Linked DNA regions of Zea mays. The main gene of each other region encodes a partner of the protein of the gene in region 2 in a complex. Links are inferred from orthologs where the notes say so. Each region holds a gene or a part of one and is shown on either strand. Other genes may lie near its edges.

The links. The genes of interacting proteins can lie anywhere in the genome.
Region 1: Transcription initiation factor TFIID subunit 6 (region 2) and transcription initiation factor TFIID subunit 10 share a complex: the UniProt entries of both Arabidopsis thaliana proteins name them as parts of the TFIID complex. The link is inferred for Zea mays from reciprocal best matches to the Arabidopsis thaliana genes TAFII59 and TAFII15.

Annotation. Positions count from the first base shown.
Region 1 is NC_050102.1:124,193,908-124,198,049, forward strand, and holds the start of transcription initiation factor TFIID subunit 10, read right to left. Parts: upstream 2,801-4,142; 5' UTR 2,698-2,800; exon of another isoform or gene 2,577-2,697; 5' UTR 2,559-2,576; coding exon 2,415-2,558; intron 2,332-2,414; coding exon 2,267-2,331; intron 2,130-2,266; coding exon 2,067-2,129; exon of another isoform or gene 150-2,066; intron 1-149. UniProt on the Arabidopsis thaliana protein: TAFs are components of the transcription factor IID (TFIID) complex that is essential for mediating regulation of RNA polymerase transcription.
Region 2 is NC_050104.1:148,199,602-148,203,610, reverse strand, and holds the end of Transcription initiation factor TFIID subunit 6, read right to left. Parts: coding exon 3,919-4,009; intron 3,828-3,918; coding exon 3,719-3,827; intron 3,599-3,718; coding exon 3,492-3,598; intron 3,407-3,491; coding exon 3,269-3,406; intron 3,191-3,268; coding exon 3,095-3,190; intron 2,978-3,094; coding exon 2,853-2,977; intron 2,173-2,852; coding exon 2,040-2,172; intron 1,915-2,039; coding exon 1,789-1,914; intron 1,691-1,788; coding exon 1,579-1,690; intron 1,432-1,578; coding exon 1,055-1,431; 3' UTR 918-1,054; downstream 1-917. UniProt on the Arabidopsis thaliana protein: TAFs are components of the transcription factor IID (TFIID) complex that is essential for mediating regulation of RNA polymerase transcription. Required for proper pollen function. May stabilize the interaction of TFIID with selected promoters.

The DNA of each region.
Region 1 (4,142 bases), on a different chromosome or scaffold from region 2:
AATGTAACAGCAAAGTTAGTACACACAAATACAGTGTGTATAATACATATCGCTAAGAAAATGTTAAAATAGTTTGTTATATAGTGAACAGTAGAGCACATCATACACTGACAAAAAAAACCAACAAAATAAGACCCTGGCAAACTTACGCAATATAATCCGAAAGATCCCATCCTCCCCGCACAATGGATCTGTTTTTCCACGGGCTTTGTAAATCACAATGCCTTTCAGGGTTATTAAGACCCCCTCCCCTGGACCCTGGTAAATAATCAGCTTGGCACCTGTTCTAGTCATTTAGCAATTCCTGCAGCTCAGTTGCCATAGCTGTCTAGGCTAAATGTGATTGCCAGATTGCTGACTGCAGAATGTGCATTTCAGGTCGTGTCAAACTAGGAGCCTCTCCAGCAGGCGCTAGCCTGCTGCCACTACAACCTCAAATCGCACCTTGCTAAGGCACATGATGTGATACATGAGCCTATCATGATGATTGATTAGGTATCCTTCAGTTAATTAGGTATGCTTTTAATTCGTAACTCATGATGATGATGATACCAAAAAAACCCTAATTGACCTGTTTCCTAATTTTAGTATGCTTTAGTTATTCATCACTTGATTAGTCAGACCACATAAAGAATGAGCCATTGGTAATATAATTACAAATAACAACAACAAAGCCTTTTAGTCTCAAGTAAGTTGGGATAGGCTAGAGTTGAAACCATACAGGTTTAGGCACATGGATAGCTGTTTTTCATACACTCCTATACAAGTAATATAATTACAGAATCTCCGCAAAATCAGGCATACACTTTGTAAGTGTATCTTGTATGTTTTTTAAAAAACTTTGAAGATAATTGCATGTTACACAGTTACTCAATATAGGGATATGTTTCATTTTTTGAAAAAGTAAATGATATGGAACATAAAATATGTAGTAAGATATATAATGTAGAATAAGAGGTAAATACAAGCATCGATGGGCCACATTAACTATTAGCAGCCACCCCACTAACTCATTAGAACCCAATTAACCCAACAGCCCATAAAGCAACACCCTACACTCTCCCCTCAATCCCTAATCCACCAATTCCTCACTTGATGCTGTTTGCCTGTTTACATCAGTCCTTTCCAATGCCGTCTTTGAGCAACGACAAGCCTGGCTGCCCCAAGAGCACACCTCCCAGATTGAGGGCCAACGCCACCCCTTTTGAAATAGAGCTCTACTCATGCAGATTGTGCACTGGTGCTGCCCCCTTCAGATCGAGCTATACAGTTGACCAGTGAAGATCTGCAAGACCACAGGCGCCGGAGCCAACAGAGATGGGCGAGGGCAGGTGCAGGTGCAGGTGCAGCCTTGCCTGGTTCTCTTCATGCTCTTCCTTTCTTTAGCCTCTCCTTCCCTTCCTGTATCAATGGCTCCAGTGCGCATATACATGGTCACCCCCACATATCCAGCATACTCCCTCCTCTCCCTTTCTATCCAGATGCGCCTACCACTGCCTGAAACTTCTCCTTCCTCCCACTTTTTCCGCTTTCCTCACTTATCTGTGCTCTCAAATTGACCACCACTGCCGTCACCTTCCAGATTGACTGTGTCACAGCTGACCGGAGCAAGTTCTGTGCCAGCCACTGGTGTTGGATCCAGCAGGGATGGCAGCAGCTCGGGTTCTTGACCTAGATGCCCTCCCCCCCCTCTGTCTCTATATTTATATTTGATCATGGCGATAGGGATGCCTAGATTTCCAGCGAGCCATATCACGTAAGCGGCACCTTAAAAACCATGTCTCAATGAATAATTTCATTGGGGAGGGATTTTGATTGAAGCCTAATAAACATAACCATGTCTCGATGAATAATTTCACAAGTACATGCAATTAGGGAGGGATTTTGATTGAAGCCTAACAAACTTGTTCAACCAGACAAAAACATGGAATTGCAGTATTGCACAGAAGATTTGCATTCCCATGGAATAAAAGAATGATACTGTTTCATTCATGAATATGCTATCATCATTGAAATTAAGAAGAGAATCCTTTACTTTGCAATAACGAGACTATGAATTTACTCACTGAAGAGAATCGCTAGCAATGTCTGATAGGAACTTCTGGGTGGCTACAGCAACCAGTCTCGTTCTGTAAAACACGAATTCAGATTATGTGTGCAAGAAATCAAGCAATTTGTGTTATTAACTTTAATCCATGGCACTGATCAGATCTCAGCTTACTATTATCCATCAGGAAGAGAGATTGGAAAGAAGACGAGCACTCACAGGCGCAGGTCGGGGCAGTGGAACCCGCTGCGGCCGAGGTAGTGCTCCACCAGCTCGTCGGGAATCTTACGCGCCACCGAACCAAGCATCAGGGTTAAGCCGCTGACAGAAAAGTAGAGAAGGCGAGAGGGAAGCGGCGGCACCATACCGTGGGGGTGTAGTCCATGAGGGATGAGAGGAACTCGGTGAGCGCAGCCTCGTCGTCGTGCCGCCCGTCCCCCCCTCCACCCACTCCCGTACCCATGCCCCCTCCAGGGCCTCCGGCACCGCCGCCACTGTTGTTGTTCATCATCCTGGACCTCACGTCTTGCTGCCTCACTGCCCCCACCGCGCAAGTTGTAACAAGAGGTAGGAGCCCGAATAAACGGCGAGGAGAGGGGCAGCGCAGGCAAGAACGAAGGCGGGCGCTCGTGTTCGGCCGCCTTGCGTACCTGAGGCGATGGCGAGGCACAGGGGCGGCGTCCGTGAGTAGAAAATTGGATTTCTCCAAACAAACAATGTGCTCGCACTTTTCCCAGAAAAAATTAGATTTTTGGACTCCAAAGCATATGTTTCGCTTCATCTTTTTTTTTTTTTGCCATTCATAACATTGATTTCGTAAAATCAAAACGTATCACACTTGTTTTTAATGTTATTTTAGACGTTTTTATCCTCGCATGAATACGTACAGATGCAATACACAGAATGGTATAGAAGAACAAAAATATCCAAAATATTATTAAACCCAAATGTAAATGAGTCTTATTTTTATAAAGTCAATATTACAAACAGAAAAAGTGAGAAACAAATTATTTAAAGCATGAAATCCAATTTTCTCACTCGTGAGGCAGGGTAGAGGAAAGGTTGAAGAAGAATCTAGCATGTGTTTGGTTTCGGAGGAAAGGTTGAAGAAGAATCCTAGCATGTGTTTGGTTTCGAAACGATGTGGGTCGGGTCGAAGCTGATCCATTTTTCTGGATTGGATCGGACTCGTTCCTTCTTTGGTTTCATTGACAGGTCAAACCTAGTTTCTTATTTGATTACAAGGTTAAAGTGGATTGGAGCTGCATCATCTCTTGTTTGGTTTCGTGATGAGGGATGAACTGAATATGATCACCTTCCTGGTCATATTACCACACTCGGGATTATATCTTCAATTCTAAATGAGATGATAACATTCAAAATAAATGAAACTGGCACTATTTTAGTATTTGAGAGATCCATAAGCACAAGATATACATAAATTAAAGCCCTTATTAACCAAGTCATAAATTTTGAGTGATGAGGTCTCATTGTTACATTTCAGTCATAATAAAAGGAACATCACAACAACATCAAGATGCATTTCAGTAATCAAGTTCAACTAATAGTTGCATTTCAGTGATCAAGTTCAACTCATTGTTGCATTTCAGTCTAACAAAAGCTACTTCTCACCATCACTAACTATTACAAACTAACAAAAGTTACTTCTCACCATCAACTCAGTTACATTTCAGAGAATTTCTCAGCGATGAACATTGTGATCTAATGTAATTTGTGCTCAAATAGTCGGTTGTAGAAAGCTTTGCCGATGTGAGGATTGGCCACCAGATGAGCATAGTAGAAAGATATATGTGTAGAATTGAAACTAGGCATTTGATTCAGCATGTCAAATAGATGACTTGGCAGCTCATTATCAGGCTTAGCAACCAATTTACTTGTTCGACGACAGCACTAGTAAGGCTCGCGGGCTATGCTTGCTGGAGAACACGCTGGCACCGGAGGACAGGCCGGCGGGGGACTGATGGTGGGAGACACAGCAGGCCAGCGGGGGAGTCTGACGACGCTGACGGAGGCCAGCACGCTAGAGGGCAGGCTAGTGAGTAGAGATGGCAATGGGTACCCGTTACCCGAAACC
Region 2 (4,009 bases):
ATAAAGTCCATTGGAGGTTTGCAATTTATGTTCCGTGGCATCGCACGGGCACCTACCTAGTTACTAATGATGCATTAATAATGACTTGTTTATTTTATTGTTTTTAAAAATATGTAGGATAGGTAATTACATGTAATATCTAAAAGTTAAAAGCATCATCTATTTAGAAACTAAGGTAGGTAGCAGCAGCCAAAAAAAAAAACTGAGGCGCTGCTGATCTTTCCGCAGTGATCTGCGCGTACCTGGAAGGGGATCTAGCGAGGATCTGGCTGTCGATCCTCGTGTTCGTGGGCAGCCAGCTCGTTCTGCCGCTGGTGTCCTCGCTAGAGAAGAACAGGCTCAGCTACGCTACTACCGGAATCGTGATGGTTGTCCCGACCACGTTCGTCGCAACTACGTCCCGAACTCGTCCTCCATGGCTACTGATGACATCGTGGTAAGTGCACACATTAACACGCGTGGCATGGCTTCCCACTCTTCGTTGACCTGACGCATTACTCAGGTGCCGTTCTCGTGGGCGAAGACCTCCATAAAGACGACGACAGGGTGAAAGAGGACTTGACTAAGCGCATATGGTCTTTGAGCATATAGACTAGTGGAATAGCCAGGAGATAAGTGACACTCCATCCCTGAAGGACTGGAGAATGATAATGATACCCAAATTTCAAGAACTGAGCTTCTAATGTTTCCAAAGTTTCTGTACGCTTACTAACCTGACAGATATACTAACGAGTGACTGTTGGTAAGCGTACAACAACATCGGAATTTGGTTAACCTGCTGACAGCTGTAGCGGGAATACACCAGACGTTCCCATAGAGTTGGAAAATGGCAAGCGCTTACAAAAGCAAACTATGCCATCTGAATGCCAACGCCATCATAAATAGCATGCATTGGATAGCAGCACAGCACAGCAACTGAGTAAACTACAACTTCAGTCACATTACTTTGACAATGTCAAACCGGGTTTCGTGAACTCTTCAAAACATCCCTAGTTGTACAACAGCGTAGAATAATAAAACCTAGAGTCTATGCATTTCCTCTCTCTCTCTCTCTCTACACAAACAAGGATATCTCTGGTGGTTGGACAAAGGAGAAGATGGCTTCCCCGAAGACCTCGTACAGAGACCCCAAGAGATGACCGGTGTCCTGGTCCTCCTTCCAGGCTTGCCTAAGCACTGCAGAAACTCTCTGCGCGAGATCACTGCCCTGATCCCTCCGGACCGCAGCTGATGGGATGCTCTCCACCGTCTGCCCAGAGGACGAGGCCTGCATCATGCCAGGGTTGCCTAACTGGTTGGGAAAGCCATCCATGGCACCTTGCATGTTTCCTCCCATGGAAGCTGAGGCCATGGAGTTGGCTGTTGCGTCCGTTGCCATCTTCTTCAGAGGTGGCTGAGTTGCAGAGAGATCTGTGCTAGATTTTCGCTTATCTGAAATTTGCAGCGCAACATAATCTTTACTTTCAAACTCGACTAATCCAACTGCTGACAGTAAGAACCACTTTGCACTTAATTGCCAGTCAACACGTGTCTAGTGGCATATATTCAACTGATACTGTGCTTATATTCAACACTCACTTGGGTTGTTGGTTAAGACCCTTTTGTTGCTCTGTAAAAGAGGCCGCATCGACGGAGAAAGCAAACCAGGAAATAGTTTCAACCGATCATACAAGCATTTGCCTGCAGCACACTAAAAAAATGCATTCCACTGGTAAGAAACTTGGCCTGGCATTAGTTGGTGAACCAAAATACGATAAATATTATATTGACTGAGAACTCTGAACTGACCAGCAAGGCACCATAAACACGCCAAGCTTCCTTCCTTTTCATCTCGTTTTTCTGCTTCTCAAGCTGCAGTTCCGGCTCCAGAAGTTGCATATATGTCACAAGGTTGGGCAAAAGAAGGAGTCTAATCTGGTAAGCAGAAAAAACAATCAGCCAGTGCATAGGACAGACCCAGTGTTGGCGGCTCCCACATAAGTGGGATCTGAGGAAGGAATAACTAATACAAAAAAAAAAGAGTTTCAAATGGGATCTACCGCGCTGGGCCCCAGTGCAGATATCCCTTGGACAGCACCATAATGTTGTGTCAGTGATTTGGCAGGATCAAGAAATGCATGGATCAATGTTTTAGTTAACCGATTTTGAAGGTTGTGATAGACATGACCAAACCTGAAACCATCATCTTCAGTTGGTCAACAATGTCATGAGAAAATTATTAAGGCAATTAGCCAAATACTACATACAGAAAATATCAATTAGCAAAGAGAGCTAGAGATCATCATTCAGAAAATACACACACTCCATGAGCAGAGCATGCAAAAGGCTATAAATCTATCAATTCCAAAAGAAAATGGATGCATGGAAACACATAAGGCAAGATCAAGTCATGACCCACCCAACAAATGCATGAAGATAGAACTGAAATAAATCTTCTGTCCACACACAGCATAGTGAAAATATCTATTTACCAGTTGGTCTCTAAAAGGAACACTATGTAGTCTACTCAGTAGCAAAGCCATGCAATGGTTTATTGGTATGTTTTCCACTAAGATGTAAGCTTCCATGAAACTTATCATGTCACATATGACATGATCCCGCAAAATAGGTAAAATCTTATATACGGAAGAAAGAGCATGAAATGGTGGTCAAACTATTATTGACTTGACCTTCATCTTAAACCTGTCGAAAAGATACCATATTAGCATAACTAAGATAAAGCACTTTTATGGGCACATAACTGTTCTTTAAGGTCATAATATGAGAATCAAGGAATTGAAATCACAAATGCAATTGAATTAAATTTTGATAATTATACAAAGATTTACTGACACCCTTCACATATCACTCACCTCTGACATACCAAGGCAACCAAATTGGCAGAGAAGTCCCTAAGTTCCCAGTGGTTATCTGAGAGCCTATGCCCTAGCCTTTTCGCAACAATGCAAGTGATCATTGATGGCATCAGCTGGTGCAACTACAGATCAAGACAAATGCTGCTAATTTAGTACTAATACGGCGAAAAGAATATATAAAATGGCAAAAAAATAAGTCGCGCACATGAACTATCAAAACCTTATGGTTTACTACTTACATAAGGTTCAATATGAATATGTGGATTACGGAGAAGACTTTGGACTACTCTCATTAGAGCAAGTAAAACAGGAAGATCACCCAAACTCCGGGTAACCTGAAATTCAAATGGATACACACTAAGTAATGTCATATAAAAAGAAACCCACCAAAAGCAAGAAAGCTACTGTACAACCTCGTCTGCAATGAAGTAGGAAAAGTAAGGAACTAAAGGATGAAGACCAGAATCTTTTGCCAAGCTCACTAAAGCTTCTTTAAAAAGGGACGTATCAGATCTACTCATAGTAAGTTCAGCTATTTTATCAAAGTACATCTGCAAAACCAAACAGTGAATAGACATATAAGTTTCTTGAAAATATATGCGTAATATACAATGCACGGTATCATAATCAAAGTACCTGTAGTTCTCTAGATAATACATGCTTAACAGGAAGCTTGACATCAGCTGGAAGTCCATCATCTTTCCCATGCTCAGACCTTTTATTTTCAGTTGGTGGTACAATTGCTGAAATAAAATGATAATTGGCACAACAAGTATTTTTCTCTCAATATTGGAGAAGAATGTGACTACATCTTGCTAAGGAGAAAAGTAATGACTATAAATCTCTGGACAAAAAGGGCAGACCGTCAATAGCAGGATTCTCCGGTATTGCAGGCTGTACCCCCTCAATCGCTAGCCAATGGGCTACAACTGATGTGTCCAGTGGGGCTTTAGGCAGAGGACAGTCAATAATCTGCATGACACGAACCAGGAAGAAACATTTCAAATGAATGGTTTTGAAATAAGTGGTACGAAAATTTAATAATCATTAATAATGCCACTACCTCTTTGAAGTCTACCTCCCGATCATCAAGATAGAAGAGATCCTTATGTCCAACAGCTCTCTTAAAACGTAATGGATCACCAGAGGCAAAT